Xenopus tropicalis: one gene and its partner. The protein of the gene in region 1 interacts with the protein of each later gene in a pairwise test. Links are inferred from orthologs where the notes say so. Each region holds a gene or a part of one and is shown on either strand. Other genes may lie near its edges.

What was found.
Region 2: the proteins of agtrap (region 1) and syt16 interact in binary tests that used the Homo sapiens proteins (3 or more experiments, as listed by UniProt). The link is inferred for Xenopus tropicalis from reciprocal best matches to the Homo sapiens genes AGTRAP and SYT16.

The regions. Positions count from the first base shown.
Region 1 is NC_030683.2:65,689,148-65,692,972, reverse strand, and holds part of agtrap (type-1 angiotensin II receptor-associated protein-like), read right to left. Parts: intron 2,498-3,825; coding exon 2,463-2,497; intron 1,736-2,462; coding exon 1,624-1,735; intron 1,551-1,623; coding exon 1,334-1,550; intron 1-1,333. UniProt on the Homo sapiens protein: Appears to be a negative regulator of type-1 angiotensin II receptor-mediated signaling by regulating receptor internalization as well as mechanism of receptor desensitization such as phosphorylation.
Region 2 is NC_030684.2:101,926,301-101,930,743, forward strand, and holds the start of syt16 (synaptotagmin-16), read right to left. Parts: upstream 2,945-4,443; 5' UTR 2,647-2,944; coding exon of another isoform or gene 2,634-2,646; intron 1-2,633. UniProt on the Homo sapiens protein: May be involved in the trafficking and exocytosis of secretory vesicles in non-neuronal tissues. Is Ca(2+)-independent.

The DNA of each region.
Region 1 (3,825 bases):
ATTAAACCTAGGAGAGGCCTTGTCGCTTAGGCTTGATCTGACAAGTCTTGAGAAGGTGACCACTTTACCCACAGTACATACATAGACCAGTAGTGATGAGCAAATGTGTCCTGTTTTGCCAAAAAATTTGCAAAATTCCGTACAATTCAACTTTTTTGTGGCGACTTTTTCCATCCTGCGCAACTATTTTTTGTGGCCATTAGAGTCTATAGGCATTTTTTCAGGCGAAACCTTAAGAAAGATTTCAGTTATAACTACAGATCAGTTGTTCTTCTGCAAGTTTTCTTCTCAGGAGTTAGAAGAGTGGCACCAAACTGCATGGGATCATCAGTTTGGGAGGGTGACAAATCAGGAGCTGAAATAGAGATAGGAAGATACTTGCAACTGCAAGGCTTTTGCAATTGTCTCTCTTTCATTCTGGAGTCAATACAGATCAAATAGGACACCAATTCCTCAAAGTAATATGCACCATTGTTCCAGGAAACCTCAGCAGCCAAGGTGTGGAAGACAATGTCATACTCAGAAGCAGAAAGTGACCCCATATCTTCAAAAGGTGGACTGAAACAGTGATTTTACAACCTGGGGCAACAGAAACCCACGGGGACACAAAAATAAAAATCCTCTTTATTAAAGTTGAATTAAAAAGTAAGCACCTCCAATGGCGCTATGCCTTTTTGCCCAAATGCACTTAGTCATGGGCTAAGTCAATTATTTTATTAGATTTTGTTTCGCTGAAATAAGTTATTTGAGCTAGCTCTAACACATCTGCTAGGAAAGGCAGCCCCCTTAAAGATATATATAACTGCCAAAGAAAATCTGACACCTAACTCCTGTATAAAAAGAGACAGATGGTGAAAAGTGGATAGTCAAGATAAGCTTTATTATTTTAATAACGGCACAGAATTTATAATTGATTAAATATAGAATTTTTTTTATTTCAGTAAGATGAAGCTTATATTAAATTTTCATCGTTGCAATAGTTACCCCTTAAAATGTAATGTAATGTAAACATTGTTATGGACAATCTAATTGGTCAATTATTCTTAAAACCTTACTATAATGAAGTTTTGCATACAGCAAAGGTCAAGAATGTACTTCAAACATAACTTTACCTGACCTGTCTCACTATCAATCATTCAATACACTTAATGCATTAATATTTCACTAAAATGTAACTAGAGTTTATTCAGGCATCCCCAACATGTCTAAAGTAAGGAGAAATAGACACTCCTCTTTCAGAGGACACAATGCATTTGTACGGTCACTGAAGGACACCTATTATAAATGACTCATTGACTGTAACTATAAGAAAGCAACATTAGCTCTCACTTACCTAGATTGACAAAGTACTCTCCCCCTCGCTCACGATACATGTGATACATGAAGAAGCAAGACAAAGGTTTCAGAAGCAGGCTGAAAATGCCCATGCCTGAACTAAAGCGAAACAAATCTCGAAGAGGTCCTGATTCTGATGCTTTCTCTGCTTCAGTAAAGTACAGTGCAAAAAGAAGGATATCAGTCAAAATAGTCAGCAACAGCCCAATGAGAAACTGAAAGAGAAAACATCCAGTTGTCTGTCTGAAACACATAATCAGCAAAATTCAGAGGAATATGCTTTCCTACCATAAAAATTGCATCAATAGAATCCCTCTGTGCAATTGCCCAAACTCCCATTGCCAGGATTGTTATGTTTGCCAAACCATAGGCTTTAGGAAGCCAATCAATCATGCATGCACTGCAAGACAAAGGAAACATGCATATTATTGCATTATTTAGATTTCAGTTTAGAAATCATTTATAGAACATTATTTACTGCTAAAAAAAATCTTTCCATTAAGTCGAATACATTTTAAAAACAGATTCGGTTTCTGTATGTATTAACCCAATGGTTTGCAAACTGTGAGACAAATACAAAAAGTATGGGGATCTCAGGATTAGTCCATTGGTTAGTGTATGGGATCAGCATGTGAATGGCTGACTTTACAGGTAAGGTCTTACATCTAATATTTATTAATATTATTTAGTATCTATTATTAGTTTACAACAGAGTATTATAGCATAAACACATTAAACTGCTGTGCATAGTTAATACAGGGAATAGCAGCCCCTGTGTTCTGCGAGTTTTGATAATATTAAAGTCACACCAGACACCAGACACCAGTCTATAGCTAATTTTATGTCTCAATTTCTTTGCATTCCTAGGTTTTATTTTGAATCTGCCTCATTGTACTTACTGCCCCATTGTACTTACTGCCTCATTGTATTAATGAATTATGCACCAAGTCAATTTAAAATTATTGTTTGCAAGCTGAGGGGGGCATACAAACTGCGCAGAGGCTAAAATATACACCTATAAGTTGCCGACACAGATAAGTAACCTTCATGGTTACTTCCCCTATGTACTGTTCTATAGCAAAGCATGCAATATGCAAGGTTACTCGGCAACAGTGTATAATACTTACAATACTGTCAGCAGCCAGTGTGTGAAGACAATTGCCTGTAGAAAGAGGAAATAAAACATAAATATACTCCTCCATGCATAATTATTTAAAGATGGTATTTCATGAATAATTATTGCATGGAAATAGTTTTTGTGTTTTTATTTTTGTCCTAAATAACAATACATAGGGTGGTACAAAAAATTCCTATGTATGTATAAACCATCTGCTAAACCATTTTGTGAAAACAAAAGGACTGCTAGACTGTTAGCAATACCAATAGCATCTAATTGCTAACCACTAGTCATTATTATAATACATATACAGGTGCAGCATGATGATGAATGATGATGGACAATGGTCACTGGATAGTTGTAGGGGCATGACTGGAGTAGAAAAGATAAATTAGCAGACAACTGCAGCAATAATAAAACAAAGGAAATTTAAATAAATAAACCTTTTTTTCTTTCTTTAAAATTACTCTAAACAACCCCCAGAATAATATAGCTTAGTCCCTACATTCAGTCTTATCTGGTTTCTGACTTATAAATTGAAATCTCCAGCTCTTTTCCTCTTCTTCCTGGTATAGTGTGAAGCCCCACCCCCTCTTCCTGTCCCAGTTGCTTAGGACAGAAATTCCAAATCAGGTTGACCAAAACACCCTTTTAACTTTCCATTAATTATGGAGCTGCCCCCAAATGTGCAAGTAAGAAGTAAACACAAATGGCGAGGGGTGGATACATCGCACACTAACAAATTTTGCTGCAAAACTGTACCAGGAAAAAATCTCAATCTCAATAGCAACTATATAGTGTGCAAATCCATGCTTGACTCATACTAACTCTCTCCTAGCCCAAAACTAACCAAATCTGGAAGCACTATTATTATTTATATAACCGCACCTGTCCTGCCCACCATATTGTGGAAGGGAAGGGTAGGCACTAGTATAAATATAAATTTTTTCTGGTACATTGAAACATGTAAAATGGGGGTTCTACTGTATATAGTAAAAGACAACAATGTATTTAATCTGTATTTACTAGAACTTGATGATTCTTGCGTGAAGTGAATGATTATTAAAAATCCAATTTAAAAAACAATTACCGTATTTTCCGGCGTACAAGACGACCCCCAACTTTTGCAGTTAAAATATCCTCAATCTCCCCCCCGCAGCGTCCTAAAGCTCGTCCTCCCCAACATCATCCAGCTCCCCCTAGCGTCCTCCCCAACATGCTCCAGCTCCCCCAACATCCTTCCCCACATACTTTAGCTCCCCCACATACTTCATCTCCCCCCAACATCCTCCCCCACATACTTCAGCTCCCCCACATACTTCAGCTCCCCCACATACTTCAGCTCCCCCCAACATCCTCCCCCACATACTTCA
Region 2 (4,443 bases), on another chromosome or scaffold:
ATTTAAATGCATATCGTTCAAACAACTGCTCCGCTACAGTACATCTTAAAGATCTAATCACCCATCCTCATACTATTCAAGCCAGTGAGCAGCCAAACCTTAATGCATTAAGCCCAAAGGCAAACTATGAATGTTTGAATGTTGGGTATCTAAACCCACTATGCACTGTATTTCCATGTCAGATCATGGACAGCCATGCTTGCTGGCACCTGTAGTCAGTTGTTAATTACATAGGCTTACTCCATGTTTTTTTATTGAGAATTACACAGAAAAATATACACACAAATACTTACCATTTACCTGATAATGTTTTCTCTGCTTCCTGATGCGCTTATCAGACTGTGTCAGTGCCTAGCTCTCTCTCTCTATAGATGTCAGAGCAGATCTATGTAGGATTTTAGACACACAGGCAAGTTCATGTGATGCTATACCCACAGAATGAGGAACAAATAAGCTAGTGTGTATGGGCAATGCTACAGTCAGAGGTCATAAATCAGCCCTGCCCTACTCTGCCTAAATATTCTGAAAAACAGTTGGAGGAAAATCCATGTCAGGACTAATTAAATCTGTGATATTAATTAAAAGGCTGCTGTCTTTATGTGTCCACACAATGATTTGCTGAATAACAGAACTGCATAAAAATAAACAAAGTTGAACACATAAAGCTCTCATTTCCAGAAGGGCTGGGAAAAGATGAAAATCCTTTTTCATATTCAGCTGGGAGACATCTTTTTATCATTAACCACTTGTGCAAAGTCATTATGATGCTTGTGACTGGGCTAAGTGATGTATTCACTGCTGGGTCTTTAATAATGAATCATGCTTGTAATGCAATAACACATTAACTGGAGCTCAGTGGACCAACTGACAGTTTGGAACTGTTAACAAAGTTCAAAACAAAAACAGAATAAATGCCTAGGTTTACAATCATTGGAATAAGGATAGTAAAAAGGAAGTAGTGCTAGGAACATTGAAAAGATGTGATTGGTTATATAAATATATACTTTTTTAATTTTCCAAAAATGGTAGTATAAGTATGGAATCCATTATCTGTAAATCCATTATTCAGACGTTTTTGATTTATGGGAAGGCTATCTCCCATATACTCCATTTTAATAAAATAATTCAAAATTGTAAAACATAATTCCTTTTTCTCTGTAATAATAAAACAGTACCTTGTACTTGATCCCAACCAAGATATAATTAATCCTTATTGGAGGCAAAAACAATCCTATTGTATTTATTAATGTTGAAATGATTATTTAGTAGACAAGGTATGGAGACCACTTATTTGAAAAAACACCAGGTCCCTAGCATTGTGGATTACAGGTCCTATACCTGTACTTGGAATCAAGTTATATACTAAAGACATTAATATAGAATTTCTGCAGATTGTTCAATACAGCCTTTAATAGAAGAAACTTGGTCAGAAGTAGTTTTGGAGAGAAGAATCCCTAAAGAGACAGGTCTTGAAAGAACTCCTTGAGCCAGAAAAAAAGTCTACAGTTGGCCATGCATATACTGATAAAATAGACTGATATCTATGTGCTATGGATATTGGTCAGTTCACTAATAAAGCAGGTTTGAAAATTCCATCTTAGCAAGTGCTCAGCAGATACAGAAGCTGCAGCTTTTATTCACTTTTTGCTGTTTTTAATGTTGTCCCAAATAAATGGACCAACAGAAAGCTGGCAACACCATGGCTCGTAGGCCTAATGCCTAGATATTATATGGGTATAGTATGTATATGGCCTTAAGGAACTAATCTGACAGCCTTTGGTTTTACTGCAGTCAGATGAAGTGTTTATAAAGTAATTAAATGCAAGTGCATGAATCAGAACAGTAGCAATCTGATTGTCCAATTAATACAAAGCTGTGGAATGCTGCAACTTTGGTGTGGCCAGCCCATTCAGATCATGCCTGAACACTCTGGACTTGCACCCAACTTTGTGAGAAGTTAGCAGACTGGGAGTGTCACTGCTCCAATAAAAACACTTGCATCTTATAGACACCCCAAAAAATATGCAGTCAATTGAGTTACAATTCTAACTCTAAAGGTGATCCTCAAAAGACACTGCAACAGTAGGGGTCGATGAAAAAGAGCTTGCCAATTAAAGATCCAGCTGGAATTCTAGACCTGTCTTTTGCCCAAACACAACACAACAGGCTGGGCTCTAGGATTGCTTCTGTGTTTCTACTTCTACGTTGCCAACCATATCTCAGATTCCACTGCAAGATTCCTACTTGCTGCAACAACACAAGGGGATTTACAGAGCACTACAAAAGGAAAACCCTTCTGCAGCAAACCGACAAGACAACTGCAATGGAACTAGAGGACTAGTTACAGGTCTGCAACAAAGCATAAACATACAGAGCGACGTTCACCTTTTTATATCATTGTGCATAATGCAACATAATGTGTTTTTGAATAGTACTTAACACACTATGTAGAATGCCCGCTTTCCAGCAGAAACTTTAGCCTTCAAGCTGTATTACATAACTCTCACACCTTCCCCTTCTACTCTCCCTGCATTCTGTAATACAAGGCCAAGCTATCAGTCTCCTTGAGCTTGAATGTAAACAAACAAACAGCAACAATATATTCCTTTGACACCCCCTCCCCAAACACTTACTGTCTGTGGCCATGATTCCAATCAGCCCACTTAGCTGCTCCGTTCTCTTACTGCAGGGCGCAGACTTCGGTATGGCATGTTACATCAGTAGCAGGGGTTAACCGACAGTGCTGTGATGTGCAGAGGCTGCAGCTTCCATTCAGACAATGCTTGGGGCTCACAGTAACTGCTGCAGCTGCTACTCTGTTTATGTCGACCATCAACACAACTGAGCTCTCCTCAGATTCTCCTCCCAGATGTCAGCAACTACACAATAACATCAGCAGCATCCCTCAGCTCAGGTGAGGCACTGAGTATCAGCAGCCATGGGGAGTTGCTTACTGTGCTTCCCTGAGATGCTCAGAGCAGAGCAATCAACAGCAGATTCACTGAGGCATGGAATGCAGTGGGGGGACATGGAGAGCAAGCTTTCCAGTTCTGTGTTCACATAGGATTTCATATATAATTCTATGGGGAAAACAAGTAATATATGTAAGTTGTCCTTCAGCAGACTGCACCATGCATTCTCTATACAGCATTGGAAAAATTATAAATACTATGGAAATATTTTTTAAAATATACTGTAATAGTGCAATCTGTAATATGAACAAATACCATTTTTACATGCTGAAATCCAACTGCAAAACAGTTCTCTTTTTGCATTATTTGAAATCCTTGCAGGGGAGAAGGGACTAAAACATCTCCACAGCTTACAGCATGCAGAAACTATGTAACCAACAGTGCATTCCCACAAGGAAGGCTGAGGACAGTCAACTACTGTTACATTTTTACATTCTTCATTTTCAGGTCCTCGCCTGGTGGCTGCTAGGGTAATTATGTCCTGGCAACTGCATCACAGTTGAAATTGGAAGCCTGAAAGAGGTGCAACAAAAACTGTGAAAGTCTCAAAAACATTTATTATTATTAGTAGTATTTGTAACATATGTACAAAGCTCAACCATAATCCACAACCCTGTATGAGAAGGGTGTATACATCGAACATACAAAAACAAAGATATGGGAGGTAAACTGGGACCTGTTATCCAGATTGCTTGGGACATTGGGTCTTCCATATGTGACAAAAAGGTTTGTCTTGGTGAGAAGTGTCTGTTGGATGGCAGATATATAACACCCAGGCTGAGGTACTGGCTCCTTTAAATCTCCAGGGCAGGAGAGGCTAGGACCCTGAAGTATGGCTAGAGAATGTTGGAGCCAATTAGGGAATGTTGGAGCCAATTAGGGAATGTTGGAGCCAATTGGGGAATGCTGGAGCCAATTAGGCAACACCTGAAGCATTTAAGGTGAGCCTGGGTGTGCAGCAAGGAGTCAGTTTTTCTGAGAGAAAGAGTTTGAGGTTGATCCTTGTCTGAGTGAAGGTCACTCTCAGAGCAGGGCACAGGGCAGGAGTGCTGCCTGTGTTAGGAACTCCCAGAGGAGCTGGGGGTGCCTCCTGCCACTGCGAAGGAACAGAGGGAGTCGCGACCAGATGGTTGAGTGCTGAGAGGACTCGGCAAGGCTTAATGTGAAGCCTGACTGTTACAGAGTGTGGAACTAACCCAGGAAGGTGACATATCTTGATCAGAATAAGGTCTTGCGATTTGTTTTTAATTCAATCCAATTTGAACAGATTCAGCAATTAAGTATGTTTATATTTATTCTCTATTTGGGTTTAAAACCCCTATAAGGACAGTGGCAGACGGGGAGATTAGCTGCCCTGCCACAAATCTTCGTTGCCGCGAGCGACTAATCTCCCCGCAATGCCATCCCACTGGCTAGAATGTAAATCGCCGGTGTATACCATCCCACCGGTGATTTACATTTTAGCTGGTGG